Cricetulus griseus: one gene and its partner. Each later gene encodes a partner of the first gene's protein in a complex. Links are inferred from orthologs where the notes say so. Each region holds a gene or a part of one and is shown on either strand. Other genes may lie near its edges. The genes, in order: Atp6v1a and Atp6v1d.

Evidence for each region.
Region 2: the proteins of Atp6v1a (region 1) and Atp6v1d are in contact, whole or in part, in a cryo-EM structure (PDB 9B8P), measured with the Rattus norvegicus proteins. The link is inferred for Cricetulus griseus from reciprocal best matches to the Homo sapiens genes ATP6V1A and ATP6V1D. Residues at the interface, in NP_001101788.1 of Rattus norvegicus: Ala366, Met368, Pro369, Ala370, Asp371, Ser372, Asp416, Ser418, Asp436, Lys438, Glu491, Gln494, Leu495, Val496; in NP_955418.1 of Rattus norvegicus: Lys4, Asp5, Arg6, Arg167, Ala171, Val175, Ile176, Arg179, Tyr186, Glu190, Arg194, Glu197, Tyr200, Arg201, Lys204, Ile205, Lys208.

Annotation. Positions count from the first base shown.
Region 1 is NC_048597.1:46,313,269-46,324,526, reverse strand, and holds the end of Atp6v1a (V-type proton ATPase catalytic subunit A), read right to left. Parts: intron 8,443-11,258; coding exon 8,348-8,442; intron 6,724-8,347; coding exon 6,552-6,723; intron 4,948-6,551; coding exon 4,855-4,947; 3' UTR 4,627-4,854; downstream 1-4,626. UniProt on the Homo sapiens protein: Catalytic subunit of the V1 complex of vacuolar(H+)-ATPase (V-ATPase), a multisubunit enzyme composed of a peripheral complex (V1) that hydrolyzes ATP and a membrane integral complex (V0) that translocates protons.
Region 2 is NC_048598.1:124,793,473-124,804,727, reverse strand, and holds the end of Atp6v1d (V-type proton ATPase subunit D), read right to left. Parts: intron 9,584-11,255; coding exon 9,480-9,583; intron 9,026-9,479; coding exon 8,959-9,025; coding exon of another isoform or gene 8,862-8,958; intron 7,662-8,861; coding exon 7,583-7,661; exon of another isoform or gene 7,580-7,582; intron 6,201-7,579; coding exon 6,059-6,200; 3' UTR 5,592-6,058; downstream 1-5,591. UniProt on the Homo sapiens protein: Subunit of the V1 complex of vacuolar(H+)-ATPase (V-ATPase), a multisubunit enzyme composed of a peripheral complex (V1) that hydrolyzes ATP and a membrane integral complex (V0) that translocates protons.

The DNA of each region.
Region 1 (11,258 bases):
ATAATAAATTGGGAATTTTTTTTGCTCTGCTTCTCTAAATATTATGGTTGTAAGAGTCATGCCTGTCATGTTGAGTCTCATTTATTTCTGTGTGACTATACACAACTGCATTTTATAGGCAGCGATTCTTTGTCTTTGAGGGAACAACACTCAGTGGAAGACTGGCAGGGACTGGCTGTCACCTCTAACTGATGTACTCGGCCTCCTTGCACACTTGGTGGATACCTGAGAAGTGTGTCTTCCTCTAGTTCCCTGAATTCCCCAGCAGTACTGTGTTGGCATAGGCTGAGGTTTGTTAACTTGCTTGACAATGACTAATTAGTTTTTTCTATTCTGTCCTCATTTTGGGCCCACTCCTCACTGGTGTTTCCTGGAAAAGCAAAACTCAAATACTCCTTTCAGAGCCAACTTCCAGGGGAAACGAACTCTCAAGTCAACTTCAGAATCATTTACCACTCACTTGAGAAAACTGGTTCCTTCATTTATACTCTAACAATTGTTGTGATACATTAAAATTAACACACTGAAGACATTGGGATATTATCTAGCTGACTAAAAATAACCCATTCTAATGAATAGGCCTGCCCATGAATTTTTAAGCATTCCTCTCTGTAAACTTGACAATCAGTAGCAATTCTGTGTTGTCCGATCCATGTTGCTTCGTTCCTTCAGAAACTGTTAAAAACTGACATGTTCAAGAAATAACATACATTCTAATCCGATGACTATTCTTGATTATCAACTTGACTACATCTGGAATTAACTAAAAGGCAAGTGGCTCGGTACCCCTGTCAGGGATTTTTCTGGGTTGGATCCTTTGAGGTGGGAAGACCCCCTTCCACGTGGGCCACACCTGGTGGCAGTCTATTGCATAAAGTGCATGGCTGAAGGAAGCGCTTGCTCTCTGCTTGCTCTCACTCTCTGTTCATTCCTTCACATGTATTCTGGTGTATCCGTAACACCAGCTGAGGCATCCAGCCTTGTGGACACACTTAACAGTCTACTGGAATCTTGGACTTTCCATTGGGAGACAGCCATGTTGAATAGTTGGACCATAACCTGTAAGCCACAGTAAGTCCTACATATATATGCTATCAGGTGTTTCCCCAGAAAACTCTAAAACACCTTGTGTGATGGTTAACTGTGGTTGCCAGTTTGACTGGCTTTAGGATCAATGAGTCAAGCATGTTAACATACCCGATGAGGTTTTTCTGGATTATATTAACTGATCTGGGCAGTACGTTCCAGTGGTGACCCAGGTGTGAGGCCCAAGGGGAAAGAGGTTTGCTTTTTTACATGCAAGTAATCTACAAAGTAGAATTTTCATGTTGTGCAGGCAAACTCATCTACTCTGCTGCTGCCATTGTCACTGTTGCTATCATTCTTCATGGACATGAGAATTCAGTCCCCTTGCCTTTCCACATGACTGAGGACTAGTGGACTCTTGAGCAACCTTTGGACCTTCAGCACCAGACTGTGATGAAAAAGCTGTAGCCTGTGGACTGAGCAGTTACCATATTCTAGGCATATCCAGTGTAAGACAGCCATTTTTGGACTACTCAGTGCATATTGTATAAGCCAAATCATTAGTGCCCCTCCCCCCACTTTTTTTTTTTTTTGGTTTTTCAAGACAGGGTTTCCCTATGTAGCTTTGGAGCCTAGAACTAGCTCTTGTAGACCAGGCTGGTCTCAAACTCATAGAGATCCGCCTGCCTCTGCCTCCCATGTGCTGGGATTTAAGGCGAGCGCCACCACAGCCCAGCTTCAATAATCTCCCTTTATGTACATTGTTCCCCTGAAGAACCCTGAGATGCCTATATTAGTAAAGCACATTTCTTGGTGTGACTGTGCAGCCATTTCCAGAGATGGATGGATACCAACTAAGGGAAAGGCCTCCCCTAAATGTGGTTGGCATCATCCAATAGGCTTGGGGTTTTGGTGCAACAAAGGCAGGGAGAAGCCAGTTAGTGCAAATTCCTCTCACCCTGAATGTCTGTTGCTGTTGCCATCACCCACAGACGCCAGACTCCAGCTTCCCCAGCCTTTCCACATGGACTCTCAAGGAAACTTCTCGGCTGTCAGCCTTGGCCTGGGTGTGCTTTCATCAGTCCCTCTTGGACTGAGGCTTCCAGGTTCCTGGGCTGAGTAGCTACTGGACATTGACTGTTGAGCATGCAGATGGCCACTGTTGGACTATGCAGTTCCAACCATGCAAGCCAATCTAATAAACCCACATATACACATCTAGATAACATACTGGAGAGCAGCAGAGGATCTAAAATTATTTGCATTGCACATTATAAGACTTAGTTCAAACTGAACAAAAACTAAAATGAGCACCATGGATCACTTTTAATTTTGAAAAAAAAAAAACAAAAAACCCACTCACTTAAGGCAGGTCAGAACGGGGTAAGATTCTGCAAACTGTACTTCCCACCCACCGTGAGCTATGATTGGAGGATGCTGTGGAGACTGTTGGGAATGCCACACTCCAACTTCACGATGCAAGTACTCTATAACGTAAAACATTTTCAAAAGGACATATTGTAACACTAAGTCAAAATATAAAGTGGAATGTTTTCTAGGAGAGCTTGTTCCTCCTCATCCTCCCACCCCCGAAAAAAGGAAAGTAAAGTTAATTTAAATCCACTTTTTATTTTTCATAGATTTTAATAATTATACATTACTCTTGACATAAAGACGGTGAAATCTTAAGGATAAGGAGGCAATTTATATGGCCTCTTCTATTTGTTGTCCAGCATGGAAGTTTCCAAAGGGTGTAGGTGTGAGATTTAACACTGGAAAAATACTTATGAAACTTGTTTAACTGGCTGCACTCATGTCCAGGCACAGCACAATAAATAGAACTGCATAATCTTTTTAAAAGATCACTGAATTTTAACATATCCTTACTAAAGAAACACTATCAGTGAACAATCCAAAACTCTACAATGTGGATAAAAGGAAAGTTACAGTGGAGATCTGAGCAACATTTCTCTAGCTTCTTCACACTCATACATCAATATTCTTAAAAGGAGAAATAATGCACATCCCAAATCCAGAACAACAAAAAACAAACTTGGTCAAGTAGTTTCTTTGGATCATTCACTCTGATCACAAACCTAGTTTGCTGGTAGGTCTAAGTAGAAAGGTTTTGAAATCTTTTTCATTTCCACTAGTCAGGGGCCTCTGGATACAAAGCCACATTGGAAGCAAACTGATTAAGCAGCACCATTAATCCATATCTCAACAAGTCATTGCATAATCCACATCTGTCAACATTGTTCAACAGTTTTTAAAATGTGACCTGGAAGAGCATCCTTCCGGAACAGCAGTCCACTGTGTAAAGACATGCACTGTGCAAGGATTTACACATTATGTCTGAACTGTAGACTGACTATGTCTACCCAAAAGACCAAAAGAAATGTACCACCTAATAATTTAAATAACATACCAAGGCTTAAAAGAAATACTTTGTTATCACACTTGTGTACTTGAGAGTGTCAGACATGTTCAATACCCTTCCCTGTCCTGAAGAGGAAGTATGGTGTCAGCATTATCAGCACAGAGAGTGATCAGGGGGCTAGCTCTCCAAGCTCTCAGAAATGGGCCTCATTATGCAAACATGGAAATTATTATTTAAACATACTGAAACAGTGAGACAAAATTGATCTTTTCCTTTTTTTATGACCCAGTTTTTGCTACCAGTCAAATACAAGAATAACTTCATCTCTGTCAACAGAATGGATACAGTCATGCTACTATGACCACAGACCCTTTGAGAAGCTTTCTGAGCCAGTGAATAAAAACATAGAAAAGTAATATTTTCTGCAATTGGTAGACTGTTTTTCAGAATTTCATCAAGCAAACAAACATATGACACATGTACCTTGTAAAAATAATGCCACTCTGGCCCCAAGAAATACCACAGCACAGCTGGTTCTTACAGGGGCAAACTGCCTGTAAGCACTACTACGTTATTTGTGACATGCCAGTTCCCACTGCCACTCTGAGAAGCTTGTCCACCTAAGTTTGAGGAAAAGAATGGCTATGATGTGGATCACATTTTCAATGATTTTTAAATTGTACTTAAAAAAAGATTTCTTGGTAATTGAGTATATAAAAGTCCTTGATATTGAATTTCTCTCAGTGAAATAAAATATGCTTTAACAAGATGATGTTAATTTAAGTTTGACCACCTGGCTCTTTTTTTCTTTCTTTCTTTCTTTCTTTCACACTTTCAGAGGGAACTGATTTATCTATTATGCTCAGCCTTGCAAACGCCTGTTATAAAGACAAAATAGTTCCCAAGTGCCCCATAATCTCTCCTGATTGATAATGGGGAAGCTATGCATAATTGGAACATTAATCTTTTATGTTTCTAAATGGAAATATTTCTTGCAAAACAGTTACTCAACAGTTACTCAACAAAACACTAAGTTGCAAGTGGTCTGACTCCAAATGCAGAGTCATTTCCTCAGTACCTATCCATAGGTACAGAGATCTGGCCTTCCATTCCCAATAGAGTCCATGCAGTAGTCCTGTTTACAGTTTAATGGAGATGAGGGAAGGGGTAGTCACCTTACATACAGGTTTACAGTAGCATAGCCATTGTGTACCATTGTGTACCATATGCACTACATTCACCACTCCAGATGAAGGTCAGGGAGCCCCTTCAAACACTGGCACAAAGGAATGTTTGTTTTAAAGACCTACCAAAGAAACAACAAAACAAATGATAACACACAGAGGCACTAGTCTCAAAGCTGCACAATAGGGAAGCAAAGGGTTTGAGATGAGAAATTCAGGGAAATATACACATGAGCTTGCTGAGGAGGAGGAAAGAGACACAGTCTAATCTTCAAGGCTACGGAATGCGTTCTGCATATCTTCAAGAAGTTGTGCGTAGTCAGCTTTGATCCTTGCCTCGCCATCTTTCACAGGATCCTGAGAAATAATACAAATTTAATTCACCTATTGGAAATAATTTTCAAGATGTAAGATAGGTTACTTATTAATACGGAGTACCAGGTTAGTTGAGGTACACTGGTAAATCACAGGTAGGAGTCAAAACTACCCTATTTTCTTTTACAGTGGAAATGTGCAAATAGACTGAAACAAAACAAAATCCATTATTTCATTTTTGAATCTTGCCTGTAGTTGATGCTCAATGATCAAACCTCAGCAATGTGTATGTTAGTGGGAACTTCGTAATATCATGTACTAGACACATGTGTGTATACAAGAACTGGAAGTTAAAATTCAGTGAATTTCCTGAAGGCCTGGAGCATCACTCGAAGACGGAAAAGTGAGACTAATAGAGCACATTTAACGGAATCCGGGTCATTAGGTTTAGTAGCAAGTACCATTACCCACTAAGCCATTTAGTGGCCTCCAGGTCTGTGCTTCTACAGTACAAGTATGCTCAAAGCATCGTTTTCAGTGGGTGATTACTACATGTGCCTATGCGTGACTTAGAAATAACACTATGTGCCGGGTGTTAGTGGCACACACTTTTAATCCCAGTACTTGGAAGGCAGAGGCAGGTGGATCTCTGTGAGTTTGAGGCCAGCCTGGTCTACAGAGTGAGTTCCAGGCTTCAAAGCAATAGAGAAACCCTGTCTCAAAGAACAAAAAAAAAAAAAAAAAAAAAAGAAGTAACACAATGTAATCCAACTCATCAAATATTTTAAAACACTCCTATATCTGGGTTTCTACTGGTAAGTTCACTTAACTGGTTAAACTTTGTTTATGAGAAAGTGGAGGCTAGATGAAATAATAGGCACTTTACTAAAGTAACTGCTGTCCAGCTAGGACGTTACTCTATGCTGACTAGTAGCTAAGACAGAGAGCAAACACATTAGAATTTATTTTAGACATGGCATACTATAATATTTTTTTAATGTGTATGTGTGTGTGCCTGAGTATATATCTGTACATCCTTTGTGTGCAGTAATCCTTGGGTGTCAGCAAACTCAGATCCTCAGAGTTTCGGTTGTATCCACCATATAGGTGCTAGGAGTTGAATCCAGGCTCTCTGCAAGAGCAGTAAGTGCTCTTAACTGCTGAGCCTTCTTTCCAACCCTACAAACATGACATAGTACAATCTTTACCACTGGAATTCCTGCTTGAACATAACTTGGAAGATTGTTCTGGTTTTATACAACCTAAGTATTATAAAATGAAAAATGCAAATTTCAGGAACATAGAGATGGCTCAGCAGTTAAACTTGCTGCTTTTCCAGAGGACCCAAGCTTAGTTCCCAGCACCCACACTGTGTGCAGGCACCAGCTCCAGGTAATCCAACAGCCACTCTGTACTCCACAGGTGACCACACACAAGTGGCACAATACTTACAACAAATGTATCTATACACATAAATCAAATGAAAATAGGTCTTCAAAAAGAAAAATGCAAATTTCATACCTCAGGTTTGGAACTCAAATAGGACAGGAAGGAAGGGAAAGTGAAGAAGGGAGGGAGAGAGGGAGGGAGGGAGGAAGGAAGGTTGGCTTCTTGCCAACAAAGGTCAGAGTAGAAAGAAACTATACCTTAAATTTCATGGAGGAAAGTTTATAGAGGATCTCCCCCATGTGCTCACGGATAATGGACCATGTGATTTTATTGTCACTCTGGGCAGTGGTCTCAACAGCTCTACGGGCCATATCATAAAATGAAATCATGTTGGACAGCATCCCCACTGTCTTATAGAATGGACAGAACCTAGGGAAAATGAACAACAAGGCAATTAGCAAAAACAACCTACAAAGCAAGTGCATATTTTTATTATATGAAACTTCATGAATTACCAGCCATTAGTTTCTTTAAACATATATTCTGCTTCCAATTATTGAACAGAAAACAATGAAGCAGTACTGCCACACTAATGACTTGTCAGCAGTCTGTTTGGGTACAAGAAGTTAAATATGTAACTCAAGTGGAAAAACAACTGAGTTGTAAGACTCCTTGTGGCCAGAGTCAAGGTTTAATGAATAATAGGAAAGCAGAGAATTGCAAACTTGCTAAAGTTACCTTGTTATCCCTCCCTCCTCCGTGTACTCAGAGCCTTGGGTATCCCAGGTAAGCTATCACCCCCTCCCCAAGCCCCAGCCTTCAGTTCTCTTTAGTATACTCATTTTTATCTGCCCATACCTTTTAAAAGCATACACACTCAAGCACATGCACGCTCGCAAGCAAACACAAACACACACACACACACACACTCAACTCCATGTATCTTATTATAGTCATTCTGAAGAATTCTACCCATTCTCTTTATGTGGTGTTTCAGTTCAGGACAAATCAGACTTCTGAGGCTAACTGACATATTGGCATTCTGGTCAATCCTATTTGCTCAGTTTTCACCGTGGGTATCAGTCCGTGCCTTCCTCCTCCTCTGAGACAGTCTCGGCAGTCTACCACTGTGTATGCCACACTAGCTTCCTAGAAGTCCTGTTTCCAGCATCCTAGGACACAGATGTGTGCTACTGTGCTTGGCTTTGTGTGGATTTGGAGGGCTTGAAATCAGGCACATCAAGCCGGTTCCCTAGCTCTTTTTAGTCTTGGATGGAGTCAAATAGGATTTAAGAGAGAGAAGGCTAGCTTAAGACAAAAGGATCAAATTCTCATGTTCCAAAGAAACAGGTTTTCTAAACAAGCTACATCAGCAGCAGAGAAAATGAAAACAGGCAAGCAGTGGGCAGAGAAGGAAGAAGGTGGGAGGGACTTTCAACAAGTCTTTTGTATCAAGAAACCTGGGACCCTTGTGAAATAAGGCAGGGAAGCACAGAATACTTAGGCAAGGACAGCAGAATGCAGCAGGAGATGCCCTGTAGGTCTGCGAACAATGCCATAATTCACTCTAATTATAGATGTTTGTGTGAGGGAAAACATGGTCAGAATTTCACTAACAAAGCAAATTCAGACAAAGGGGCATACTAGATGCCTGCTATAAACACACAGAACAAGCAATATACTGAGTCAGAATGCACTTGTATGGGAAAGTTTCCAACATGCAGGCAGCTTCTTTGCCAAAACACAACAAAAAGTCTTCAAACGCCTGTAACTCCCAAATTTGACCCCCTCACACAGACATACATGCAGGCAAAACACCAATCAATGCACACAAATCAGCCAAATAAAAATACATTATAAAAATAAGGTAATTAGGCCTGTTGTGGTGGTGCCCACCTTTATCCCAGGCACTCTAGACACAGAGGCAGGCAGATCTCTGAGAGCTAGAGGCCTGTCTGGTCTACAGAGTGAGTTTCAGGGCAGTCAGGGCTACAAAGAGAAACCCTGTCTCAAGGGGAAATAAAAAAAAAAAAAAGAAATTAGCATAGCATACCTGTCATAAGGAGTGTATCCATTTTGTTGCAGGAAGTCATCTTTGATAAGCTTTGCTACCTCCAGAGTGATTTTATCTGTCTCTGCTAAAGAAGCCTAGAAAACAAAAGGGTACTTTAAGAAATTTTATTTCATTGTGTGGGATCAATAGCAACAAATCAATTGGCAAGCAGACATCAACATACAATTACTTATCACTGATAAATGCAAAGGTTTTGGTTGTTTTTTAGTAGTGGTAAAACAGAACATGACACAAAATTTCGCATCTAGAAGTTATGCATGGTGACTCATGCCTATGATCTCAGCACTTGGCCAGCTGAGAGGGAGGACTGCAGTAGTTCCAAGGTAGGCCAGATGGCAAAGTGAGCTTTAGGCCGGTCTGAGTTGTACCCCTCAAGGTTCCTCTGTAATATAAAGCACTATCACGTTGTTATGAAACATTTTCTCTTGTACACCTGAAACTCTAAGCCCACAAACTCCATTGCTCTTCTCCCTACTTTAGACATCGGATATGAGTAGAACCATATACTATTTCCTTCATAACTAGCTTATCTCATTTAAAATGTCCTCATCATTCATCTATGCTGAAGCAGGTGACTAATGTATTTGTCCACTAGTTCACTAAAAGGTGGACATTTGAATCACTTTCACTCTTGGCTATATAGATAATACTACTATGAATATGAGTATGCAAGATAATTAATTTTTAAAAAAATCATTAATTTATGTGTATGAGTGCCTTGCCTGCGTGTATATGTATTATGAGTGTGCCTGACTCCCAGGGGTCAGAAGGCAATGGATATCCTGGAACTGGAGTTACAAATGGTTATGAACCATCATGTGAATACTGGGAACTGAACCCTGCAAGAACAAGTGCTCTTAGCCATTGAGTCACCTAACTAGCCCTGATTATTCTTTAAAGGCATCACGTGTATGTGTGTACGCCTGTGTGTGTGCCACCACACCACCTCCTGGCCTCACACCCATTTTATAAAGTACTTTTTTTACACCATACCTTGTTGCTATTATTTGAATTCAGTTTTTAAGCTTGATTGACAGAAACCTAAATAGTCCATAGTTACTTTGTTGTTAACATTACAGGATGTTTAGAACAATGATGGATAGGTAAGTATTTGCTTATCTGAGTGCTGTTTTTTTAGTAAGCTAAGTTACACAGCTGCCTCAACCTCTAAGTATCACTGCCTCAAACGCTCTGCTGTTGGCAGCTGCCAGGCCAGCCATGAGACAATACCATTGTTGCTGGGATGACTAACAGGAGGAGGAAGGACAAACAGGAAGTTCCAGGCACTCTGGGCTGACTAGGTGCATCAGCACCTCAGCTGAGGATCAAGCCTTTCACAGCTCTCTCTTTAAAAAGAAAAAAAAAAATCTCTTTCACCTCTATTTCTTTCTTCAACCACACTTAAATATTAAGCATCGTTGATGTGTTTTTGTTTTAAATTATGGAAAAATGTATATTTTGTTTTGTAAAAATACTTTTTCACTATTTGAAACATTCTCCAGTGTCTCTGACTAGCTGATTTTAAGATCCACCATGCTGTTCTGTACTATACAATTCACTTCTTGCAACTCCGGCAATTACATTCTGTATGCACAGCCTCCATTCTTTACCTTGTATCTCTGCCCCTGGTAGAGGGCACCAAACTTTCATCAAATTTTCTACTATTATAAACCCTAAGGACTCAAGGCACCCAGCTCATTCTGTCCACTATGGCCACTCCAAATGATATATCTATCAATGGTATTCCAGTACTTGGCAACCTCCAGCTGTATAACTTTTGCCATTCAAACTAGTATAGATTGGTATGTCCTTGCTGTTTGAAGGAGTATCCACAGGTCTGTAATATTTCTGGCTTCCTTCTCTCATCTGTCTGCTCTACCCTGTGGTTATCTTTTAAACAGTCGACCATTGATTTTATTTACTAAAAACTTCCTTTAAAATTTATTACATTTAATGCCATGTGCATCAGTGCTTTAAATGCATATATGTCTGTGGTACCCAGGGAGCCCAGAAGAGGGCACTGATCCCCTGGATCAGGAGTTAGAGCTATGAGCCCCTAGGTGGGTGCTGGGAACCTTTGAAAGAGGAGCAAGTGCTCTTAAACACTGAGCTATCTTATCTCTCCAGCTCCACTGCTGCTTTCTCTTGAGGAAAATTGCCTATAACTCTCTCCGGGGGACCAGACACCTCTGGCTCCCAACAGCACATGCACTTTCACGCACACATCCACACACACAGGCAGGCACACATACACAAAAAATCTTTTAAAAATTGTATTCTACTAACATGAAAGTGTTTCCTCTCATACCTAAATTTTTAACCTATTTGTAGTTTACCTTCATATGTGGAACTGGGAAGCAACCCAGTTTCATTTGCTTTAAACACCTAACAGTTTTTCCACTGCTGACTAAAACAATCCATACTTCTCCCATTTGATCTGTGAAGCGCTATGCAGTATCAAGGATCCATGTACATATAAATCTATCCCGGCTCTGTCCATTGGTTCGTTTGTCTGTTATCTCACCAATACCACACTGTTTTTACTATTAGAGTTTTCTGTCAATACCCAGGAGGAGAACATCCCCTCCCTATTTACTATTGTGTTTTGTTTCCTAAGAGCCAATCTCTAGGACAGTAAATGAACTTCAGAATGACTGCTGATTTACTCAGAAGATTCAGCTACGGTGGGCTGAGATGTAGCTCAGTAGCAGGGTGTTTGTTTAGCACGCCTGGGGTACCATCTCCAGCACTGAGAGATGCAATCAACTAGAAATGTGGTTGGTATTACACTGACTTTATAGTTCAAACAGAAGTGGTAATGCCAAAATTTTTACTTACTTGCTTATTGTGTGTGCACGGTGTGCATGTATGTGGTGTGCACGCACATGTA
Region 2 (11,255 bases), on another chromosome or scaffold:
GATATTTAATAGACTAATAAATAGCTGTCTTCAGCATTGGAACAAATTTCTATACACATATACACTGAGGGAATACCATGACAATCAACTTTAAGATCAGAAGGAAGACTTAAGAGTCATTGAGCATTTAGAAAATGACAATGGAGGAAAGTTTATTTAAGCATCTACAGACAAGTTTTTGTCCTAACATGGTCTACCTTGGGACCGGAGTACAACAGCTTGCTAAATCTTAAATGTTGGCACTAATACAATTTTTGTACCGTTTCTACAACTACAGCTTTAAATGCAGAGTCTACAAGTCTGCATGCAAGTTAACTTGTAGTCTTTTCAAGCCTTTAAGGAAACTGTAATGTGTAACAACGAACCTCAAATGTGAATGTCTTGATCTTAATTAGCTACAGCATTTCATGTTCCCAAAGCTAAACACTGGAATGATACTGAATTGTGACTTAGCATAAGCAGCTGTTAATGTCTTGTCAGTGACGTTTATGTGTCTGATTTCTCTTCTAGATAATCTTACTGAAACAAATTAGAGTTTGTGATATCTTTTTATGTTCAGTTTTTGCATGGCTTTTGTAGTTGGCTGGCAAGTGTGTCTATTTAGAAACATTTTAAAAACAATTTTCCTTAGGAAAAAAGGAATGTACTTGGGTCAAGGGAAGGAATGCTACACAGTCTGAACACTCCCAGTTTACAGCAGGAAAAATGACAAGTCCACACCCTTGTCAACATTGAAGGTCAATTTACTTAGCACTTAACGATTAAATCTTCTCAGTTTTCCACTGTGTTTTCTCCTCAGGAATGAATGGTAGTCTATGGTCAGTAGAGCTCTGACTAACAGAGACTTGATGCACACCTGAAACCCCAGCGGGAAGATCTAGAGTTCAAGGCTGGCCAGAGCTACATGAGACTCTGTCTCAAAGAAAGAAAGGAAAAAAACAAAACAAAACAAAGCAAAACGATGATTGGATTTGAGTAAATTTTAAGTAATGTCACTGCCACTGGTGACAGTGGGGCCATGTGGATCAAGACTCAAACACATGGCCTATAAAGGCACATACCATGCTACCATGGATTCTTTTAGACTGAGATTTTTCAAAGTCAGTAAGATCCTAACTTTACTCATATCCATACATGGATAGTATATATCCTGAAATTTTCTAAATCCTAGTGATTATGAATCTAATAATGCTCAATAATAGTCCCTGAACAGTGAAAAGTTTAGCTGTGCTTAAAAAAAAAAAGAAAAAAAAAGCTCTGTTATAACTGTAATTGTACAGTGTGAGGGCCAGTTCAATTCCCTATCCCTCTGTGGTTCTGATTGGAAACTGCAGTGCTAGGGAAGCCTCAGAAATGATATTGTGGTTGGCAGGAACATAGCTCAGTTGGTAGAGTACTACCTAGCATTCACAAAGCCCTGTCTAGATCCCCAACACCACAGAAAACCAACATGGGGTTCATAGCTGTAGTCCCAGAGCTTTGAAAGTGGAAGCAGAAGGGACAGCAGCTCACAGTTACCATCAGCCACATGAGATCCTGTCTCAGAAACAAAGTAGACAATATCAGCTAATGACATGTTCTCGGGAAACCCAAACAAGGAAGAACCATCATTTCTTGAATTTCCCTATGTCAGAACAAATAGGACATTAGTATTTAGACTAGTCCAGATTAGTTTTCTATGGAAATCTAGTGTGTGGATTGTTTTCCTTCTCTCATGGCCTAAGGAGTAAATACTGACAAGGAATGATTTGAATGTAATTTTTGTGAATGTGTAGAAAATATTAAACAGGGATTCATCCTTAATGAAGGTAATTACGTTGGCATTCGTTGTTGATCTCCCTTTGTACTGTCTTGTTTCTCTACTTGTTATCTTGAGATGTCTTACTGCACATTGTATTGTAAAAATAAAAAGCAAAACTATTTCAAATCAAAGAAGCCATAAATACTTTCTTTTATTATGTTCCTATCTAAGGTTTGTGCAAATATAGACCACTCCTCTTCCAAGGGTTTGTCAGAAGCAACACTGCTGGAATCTCTGAGTGGAATACAAATAGAATGTAATTTGTCATGGGTTGTCCTTTAATGGCATAGATGGTCAGTCCTATTTCTTTATTGGTTGGAACAAACAAGAAACTTGTTTTTATGAGACAGGGTCTTTCTACAGAGTCCTGGCTGTACTGGAACTCACTATGTAAACCAGGCTGGCCACTACACCTAGCCTTTAAGCTAAAACTATTGAAAATAGTCAACTCAACGGGGTGGTGGTGGCGGCGGCGGCGCACGCCTTTAATCCCAGCCCTTGGGAGGCAGAGGCCAGCTTGGTCTACAGAACAAGTTCCAGGACAAGCTCCAAAGCTACACAGAGAAACCCTGTCTCAAAAAAGGAAGGAAGGAAGGAAGGAAGGAAGGAAGGAAGGAAGGAAGGAAGGAAGGAAGGAAGGAAGGAAGGAAGGAAGGAAGGAAGGGACAAAATAGCCAACTCAGAGCTGGAAAAAACAAAACTTTTCAGAGAGAAGAGGTATTAACAGGCAAATTCTTTTTGGGGTAGCCAGGGATTTGAGAATATTTGAGTTGTTGGCACATACTTCATTTCTCCCAAAGATCACAAATCATAAACACGGCAGCCTAACAGCCGAACACGTGCTTGTCTGACCTTGCTTTAGTCACTAGGAGGTCAGATGCCTGCCTGGTGGCAAGGAACCAATCAGAAGTTAGCTGGTGGTGCTATGCTTTACGGTTCTGGGTGTGCTTTACGGATAAGTGCACAGCAATGACACACAGAGCATAGCAACCACCCTGGGAGGGCCTACGGGCCATAACAACCAGTTGACCAATCGACACAGGGCAAGCCCTCCAAGCCTGGAGGCACACCAATCCTGAGCCTGTGCATACCCCTAGACACTCCCCTTATGCTGCCCAATAAGATCTCTATGTAGACGCTTCGAGCTGTCTTTTCTAGCCATCTGCCATGGCTAGTGAATGAAAGACCCGAGCTAACATGGGGTTAGCTCGTTTAACAACTATAATAAAGCCTCGTGCTGTTTGCATCAAGTTTCTGCCTCCGCATGGTGATTGGGGTGGCTGCAGTCCTGGGCTGAGATTCTGGAGGCCTGATCTCCCGGGGGTCTAACAATGTACTCCAGCTTTCTTTTCTATTCCTGATCTGTCCCCTTTGGACCATCTCACTCCTAGCCAAACCCAACATTTACCCACTATGTAATCTTGACTTTTTAACATAAAGCCATAAAGTCCTCTAAAATCTTAGCTGAACCTGATGGTGCATGTCTACAATTCCAGCATGCAGGAGTTCCAGACCACCTTGGAACATAAGATCCTATTTCAAAAGGAACACACCTGTCAATCTGTGGACAGTTGAAGCATGCCCAGTTAAGTACCAGAGCTTTACTGATGCTGATGCTGCATGAGAAACCGAAATTCCTTTGGTCCAATGTTTTTCTTAAAATTCAAACTAAAAGCAGTGCCCAGTGCTCAAGGATTATGCCTCTGAGATCATTCCCCTTGTATTCATTCCACCTGTACCCTTTGACCTATATAAGCCGCCCAATTTCTCCACAGGCATACTGAAACAGTACAGTTTACACCTCACCAAGATACTGGGAAGTTGATTGCTGGACAGTTCAATGTTACCCAGCTATGAACTTGGGTACTGAACTGACTCTGAACCTGACATTTTCTCCTATGAGCTACATCTGGTTTCGTACAAATCAGCTTCTCTGAGACAGGCTACCTTAAATATGGAAGAAACAAGAAGAATAAAATGAATGTGGGCTGAAAGATTACTGAAGAGTTTGCCAAAAGACTCTGAGTTCAATACCCTGCCAAGAACCCATGTAGAAAAAAAGCAGCATGGTAGTACATGCTTATAAACCAAGCATGGGAAAGACAGAGATAGTTCCCTGGGGCTCGCTAACCTGCTAGGCTAGCCTAGCAAGCAAACAAACAAGGTAGGCAGGTCCTTAGAAATAGTTCCCAAGGTTGTCTTCTGGCCTCCATGTGCACATGCAAGCATGTACATGCACACACCAAAAAAGACAAAAAGTTAAGTGTGAACATCTGAAGGTAGGATCACTGAGATGGCTCAATGGAAGGTGCCTGACCCCAGGTCCCACAGCTTGAGTTCCATCCTGGGACCCATATGGTAAAAGGAAAAGCTGACTTGTGTGAACTGTGGTACACAAATTTCTCCACCTTTACATACCTATAAACAAAACAAATTAATACATTTTTGTGGTGATATCTTGTTACTCTGCCTCCCGAGTGCTGGGATTAAAGGCGTGTACCATCACTACCCAGCTAAATACTATATATTAGACTATTTGGACTTAAACTTAGGTTCATCAACACCATTTTCCAGCTTTTTAATTTAAAAGCAATTATTCAAGCTCCTATGTGTCTCAATCTTTATTCCATGGAATGGGCTAAAATACTTATTTTTAGACTGGTGTGGTGACTTAACATAAATGCTTCCTTAGCATGAAGCTCTGGGTTCACTCCCTAGGGCCACTTAAACAAAAACAAAAAACTTATTTGGTCATTTTGAGAACATAAACACATAAAACACTAAGTACCTGGTAAATAATCCTAAATATCTACAAAAATCATTTAACATCTTTAAAAGTCTACCTAGTGATAGCAGTTATCAGATTATATTAATGCTAGTGTCACTCTCATAACTAAGATCTGTACCATGCCCAGTCAAGCCCAGAGTCCTGGAACTGGCTGCATTAAAGTCTGAGTAATCAGATAATCAAGACAAATCAGACAATACTGAAAATTCAAGACACTCCTGGTCCACTTTGGCATCTCATCTTCATAAAAGAGAACAAACTGTTATTGCTTCTAAAACAGCAAAAAGTATTCTGATTAGTCCAAAGTAAGAATTAGTCTCATTCTTAGATTAGAGGGAAATAATTATGAAGTCTTATTTAGCACTGGCAGTCACTTATTAGTATTCCAAAATATAGTAACTGTCTCAAATAAACCTAGTGACACACTGAGATAGGGAATAAGAAAAGGCCCGTAGCTACATGTCTCTGGGAAAAGATGTGAGTGCCAGTAGGGTCACTTATCTGAAACTAAAGGCATGGTGGGGGACCGGGTCACCATTGTATTGTTAATTAACACTAGGCTGTTACTGTTTACCATGGCCTAAGGTGATATGCCTCCTAATTTGCATCTGTATGTGCCTAAGCATCTGAATAGGCCCTCACCTGGGCAGAGGAGCTAGAGGTATGAGTAACTTGGGAGGACAGGTTAGGAGCCAAGGGGCGAGCGGCCAGGACAGCGAGAAAACAAAGAGAGAAATGGCTGCCTCGTAGTATTAGCAGGATGGTTAAGAAACACCAGAAAAGATGACTAATAAAGAAATGACTCCAGTTCCACAACATGGAACTGAGAGCTCTCTGAAGATGACAAGATGCCTGTGTTTGGTCTTTATCGCCATTGGGTTCCGCGAAGCTTCCAGGTCCACACACCCCCACTCAGGTAGAACCTCATGGACTAAGGCTGAGATATGCTGGGTCACGACAAGGCATAATCACCATTCTTAGTAAAAAGAAAGAGAAACAACATGTTTTTAAAATCGTTTTACTCTGTTCATAAGTCACATTTAAATGGGCAGAACTGCTTCCATTACAGACAGACTTAGCGTGCAAAGAAAAATAGATGTAGAGCTGCGACCACAGTAACACAACAGTGGCTGCACAGTGCCATGGTTTGCAAGTGGGTAGGACAAAAGCTGCACCAGCAGTTGGCTGAAACCACGAATGTGTGTAAGTACCAGTGAAGCTACTGTAAATAGAATCCTAAGACGCTTTCACAGAGGAAATTATGTAAGTTACTGGGCAAGTTTTACACATCTCATTCAACTGTGATAACTGGTTGCTGAATCACAATGCAGGAGAAATAGTCTTACAGGACATCCCGATAAATCTTAAAGCCAGGGAATTCTTATGCCAAAATAAATAGCCACATATACCGAACCTATACACTGGGTTAACACGGAGCTGGTGCTGGGTCTGAGGGAGCAAAGGGGCCGTTACTCGAACAGCAGGTCCTCGTCCTTCTCCTCAGCCAGCAGGTTGGCAGGCTCCATCACTTCTCCAGCTGCTCTCCGATACTCCAACTCCTTCTCGAATTTTTCCTTGATAATCTTTTTCTTCTCCTGTATTTTCTTTAACCTGCAAGAAGGGGACTTTGAAAATGCTGTTTTCAGTTCAAAGGAACTGAATGTCTTCAGGATTTGTAACTAGGCAATAAACATGGGACAATTAGAATCTGACTTTCATTTTCTGTCATCTTAAAATGTTTGAGGGAAATAGCTATTAATATCTGATTGCAGATACCCTAGACTACATTGAATAAAACTTGAAATCCATCCTGTAATGGTACAGATTCTGGATCACTACAACCCTGAAAATGAATGGTAACTACAATTCTATGTCACACTGAGCTGTTTCAAGATCTGAGACCAGCCTGCTGCCCTGAACGTTCCTCTCACCTACCCACCCTCCACTTATGCAAACTTAGTTTAGTATTTACCCCACCGCTCTAAATCTTCACAAACAAGCTGTGGGCGTCGTTTTTCTCACCACATAATGTGCAGTGTGATTCATTAATTGGGAATGCCCAAGTATTCAATGTGCAGTGTGTGGCTTGCTCGATTCATTTCTCATCTCAGGTTTTATGTAGGAGACACTCAACTCCTTTTGTTTTAAAGAATAATCTTACTAGTTTTTCTAAAAGGCATAAATTTTTGATGGTGCCATGTTTGATCTATGTGCAAAACATGATACGGATCTCCACCACCTTTGGAAATACGGTTGCCCCACTCTGCCGTGGATATGCTCTGAGACCTGAAGATCTGAAACCAAGTTTGCATAGTATGCTTCTTCGTACATAGTCTACCCTTAGTAGAAGGGAAGTGTGATTAAAAATTGGTAAAGTTTAACTTAAAAATTAAGTACAGTAAGGGATTAGCGTTTTTGTTTTAAGTCAAAAATTTTCACCTCTTAAGGAAAACACAGCCTCTGTGAATACAAGAACCACAGTAATGTGACAGCTGACAGCTGCTCTGATGACAACTACCAAGTGATTGACAGCAGGTAGTGTACAGGGTGGTTATGTTAGCTGAAATAATGCTTCATCTAATAAATAGCATAGCACCTTGATGTCTCATGACACTTGGAAGAGCATCCAATTGAAAATCTACATACTTGGTCTTTAATTTCTCATGTAACATTTTTGGACTGTAACTGTTAACCAAGATAAACTCAAATGGAAGATCAAAATGCAGGAAAAGGGGACAGCTGTTATTTCTTCTTTCAGTTTGATGTTCTCAGAGTATATGTTTTGATATAGCCCAGGCTAGCTTTCAGCTTACAGTCTTGTCTTCTGAGTTCTGAGATTATAAGCAAGCACCACATGCCCAATATTAATTTCTTGTTTTTATTCAACAGAATAAAATAAACCGCTTATGCAAGTGCATTAGTCACTGAGCAAACCCAGATTGTAGTGTATGGGGAAAACAAAAACAAAACCATTAAGTGCCAATTCAACAAACCTATAGAATTCTTCTCGCTCTCTCTCATCCAGCTCTGTGATAATATAGGCAAGGGTGCGTTCAATCCGGGGAATGATAACTAGAGTTTAAAAATATACATATGTGAGAACTTAAATGCCCTTTCAAAAAACTACCAGTATTTAGCTGTACAGTAATTATTTTCTAATTGTAGAAATAACATACACTTAATGCAGAGAACTTGGAAAATAAAAAACACAAAAAATTAAAATCAGATGTAGTCCAGCCAAATAAAATTACCTTGAAATTATTTTGGTATGTACCCTTCCAGTATCTTTTCTACATACAGATACCAATAGTGGGCCAAAACAGATGTAACACTGGATACTAAGTATACCTGAACAAGTAACAATAAGTCACAGGCATTAGCTTAAATACACTAAAATACCATGGCTAAAAACTGAGAGGAAGAGCCAGGCAGTGGTGGAACACACCTTTAATCCCAGTGCTCGGGAGGTAGAGGCAGGCGGATCTCGAGGCCAGCCTGGTCTACAAAGTGAGTTCCAGGATAGGCTCCAAAGACACACAGAGAAACTTTGTCTCAGAGAGAGAGAGAGAAAGATAGAGAAATGCTGTGACCATTATATATGTCACTCCGCTCTCTGCTTTACATATCAGTGTTCCTATCGTCCTCCTGTAATGTGAGCTCTCTGAAGTTGAGAACTATTATCCTTACCCATTTTGTTTTGATGGAAGTTCAATGAAACAAAGACTGACACTAAAAAGCAGACAAGAACTGTGTTTCTGGGGTAATGGTGTAGCTCAGTGGTACAGTATTTGCCAAGCCTGCTCTGAGGCACCACCAAGTAACATGCCATCTGTATTTTCAGGTGGCATAATACTATCAGGGCATCAACTGAAGGACTAAGGACTTTCTTTGCTTCGGTTCTTGTTCCTCTCTTACCTAAGGCTAAATAAACATTTCTTTCAAAGAAACTGAGTTCTTCAGCCAAGAACATTGTTAACATAGTTGTATTTTTAAAATAATGGGATAAAAGAAAATAAACGTAGTAAAATGAGACAATAGCCTAAAGGAGAGATTTAAAGATTTAATGTGTTAAAAAACAAAACAATCACTCATCCAATGGACAGAACTTAAGAAAGCACTAAGGCTCCTAAGGAATAGAACTTCTACTTTGCTAACTGCATGAACGACGGGAGGTGTATGGCATTCTGACCTGGTACTCCCTCAGGGTGCATCTCTGTGCTTTCTCACTGACGGACACATTTGTCTCTCCACTGTGGCAGGGGAACATCTCACCTCTCAATCTGGAGTGCTGGGCCTGAGTCCTGGCAGCTGTCTAACAAGTGGACGGGGCGGGGGAGGAACAAAGAGCTTCCCAGCAGCTTTGACTCACCATGCTCAATGGCATTTACACGCCTGTTCGTTATCTTAATGGCTTCATCCAGAGTAACAAAGGAAGTCTAAAATAAAAGGACAAATTAATGACAAGCGCACATCTCCATGATCAGTCACGCCTGTTCACTTGACCCCACTCAGACTGCACTCATAAAAAACATTTGGGAACCCAGAAACAATTAACTCTTTTTCAGCCTGCCTTAGAAACAGAAAATGCACATGCGATTTCTATAGAGCTAATGCAGTTTCTACAGAGAAGCATTCACTCATAATGAACCACATACACATACACATAAAGGAACCATGTCACAGCACTCCTTGGAGTGGAGCACCACGTATGCACTTTACTAATAAAGAGCAAAGACAGATGAGCTGAAGCCGCTGGCCACTTCAGAAGTCAGATGTTTAGGCTTGTTTCACACAAAGGGTCATCTGAGTTGAGTGTGCTCCAACACAAGCCCCAATGTTGCCCACGTGACTGTGAGAAGCCAAGCTGGAGAGCTCCCTGTTGCAACACACCTGCAGTGAAGCTAGCTCCACCAGTAGTTCCACTGCTTTGGCATAATTCCTCTTCAGTTTGGCCAGCTGTTCCCCACCTCTAGCTAAACCAGTCAATTCATAACCTGAAAGAGCCATGAGACAACATTTTTAATTAGGGAGTAAATAATCCTCTATGAATTCCCAAAAGGAAGATGATTCAGAATAATACAAACATGGAAAAACAAATTCACTAACTCCTATTAAATGCAAATGCCAAACACAAAATACCCATTCCAGGTTAACATGAGCAGACCAAGGTAACAACTGCATTAAGTCTAGCTTGGTGAACCAATGAGTTTATTGGGCTTATATTATAATGTATGAGTTAAGTATGGAAATATGATGACCCCAAAAGGTGCCTCACAGAAAAGTCTCCTCCTAGCATGGTTAACATCCCCATAGCCGAGCCCCCCCACCTTTAGCTAGTCTTTTATGTTCTATATATTCTAGCACCTCCAGAGACCATGTGCAGCTACAAAAGAAATGAATGAAGGGCTGATTAGAATCTCAGCTAAGGATCTCATGACCTACCTTCTCTTCTAAGGAAGGTTAATGAGCCCATCTTAAGGGTCTCTTGCAGGTCACCACAGAGTCTCTGACTGACATTGGAATGGCTGCATGCTTAGATGACAACATTCTATTGAAGGAACTGGCTTCCCTTTTGGCAGCCATAACAGCTGAACATGTGCTTCTATGACCTTGACCTAGTCACTAGAAAGTCAGATGCCTGTCTCGTGACAAGGAGCCAATCAGAAGTCAGCTGGTGGCGCTATGCTTTACGACCCTGGGTGTGCTTTACGGACAAGCGCACAGCAATGACGTAGAGAGCATAGCAACCACCCTGGGAGGGCCTATGGGCCATAACAACCAGTTGACCAATCAACACAGGGCAAGCCCTCCAAGCCTGGAGGCACACCAATCGTGAGCCTGTGCATACCCCTAGACACTCCCCTTACGCTGCCCTATAAAGATCTATGCGCAGCAGCTTCAAGCCATCTTTTCTAGCTGTCCGCCATGGCGGGTGAGTGAAAGACCAGAGCTAACATGGGGTTAGCTCGTTAAATTACAATAAAGCCTCGTGCAGTTTGCAGCAAGCTCTCGAATCCGCCTGGTGATTGGGGTGACCGCGAACATGGCTTGGGACCCCGAATACTTGAGTTTTCGGGGATCTAACACTATAACATACTAAACAGAACTTGGGTATTTACAAGGCTACTAGAGTAACTGTAAGGAGAGAAGAGAGAAGTAAACACACTAGACGAGCCTTTACCACAGAGCTATACCATTAGCCCTAGAGGGGAAAGTTAACCACTTCACAGCTTGACAAATTAGCTAACAGTAGTCAATGTCATTAGTACAAGGAAAGTTTCTGTACAGATGACTATTCCTTTATGTGACCCACAATTAACATTCTGTACATTTCAGTGAAAAAGTTCATGAACCAATGAATTATAAGTGGCAGAAAAATATTTTTATATGGAAAAAGGTTAACTATTTCACTCTGAGAAGACTAAACAAGTGTTAACTATCCTCACAAATGCTGCCAAATTAAGAAAGGAAGAATTTCAAAAAAGCTTGGAGCTAGCTAAAACTATCTAGAAAGATCCAGCATTCAGAATGCATCATAGGATGTAAGGTTTTATTCTACTTTTAAAAGACACAAACCAGAAATGATAAACAATCCATGATGAGTACAGTTTAAGCAAAGAGATAACACAGATGTCTAGTTAGTGAATTGGTAATAAAAGACAAAGC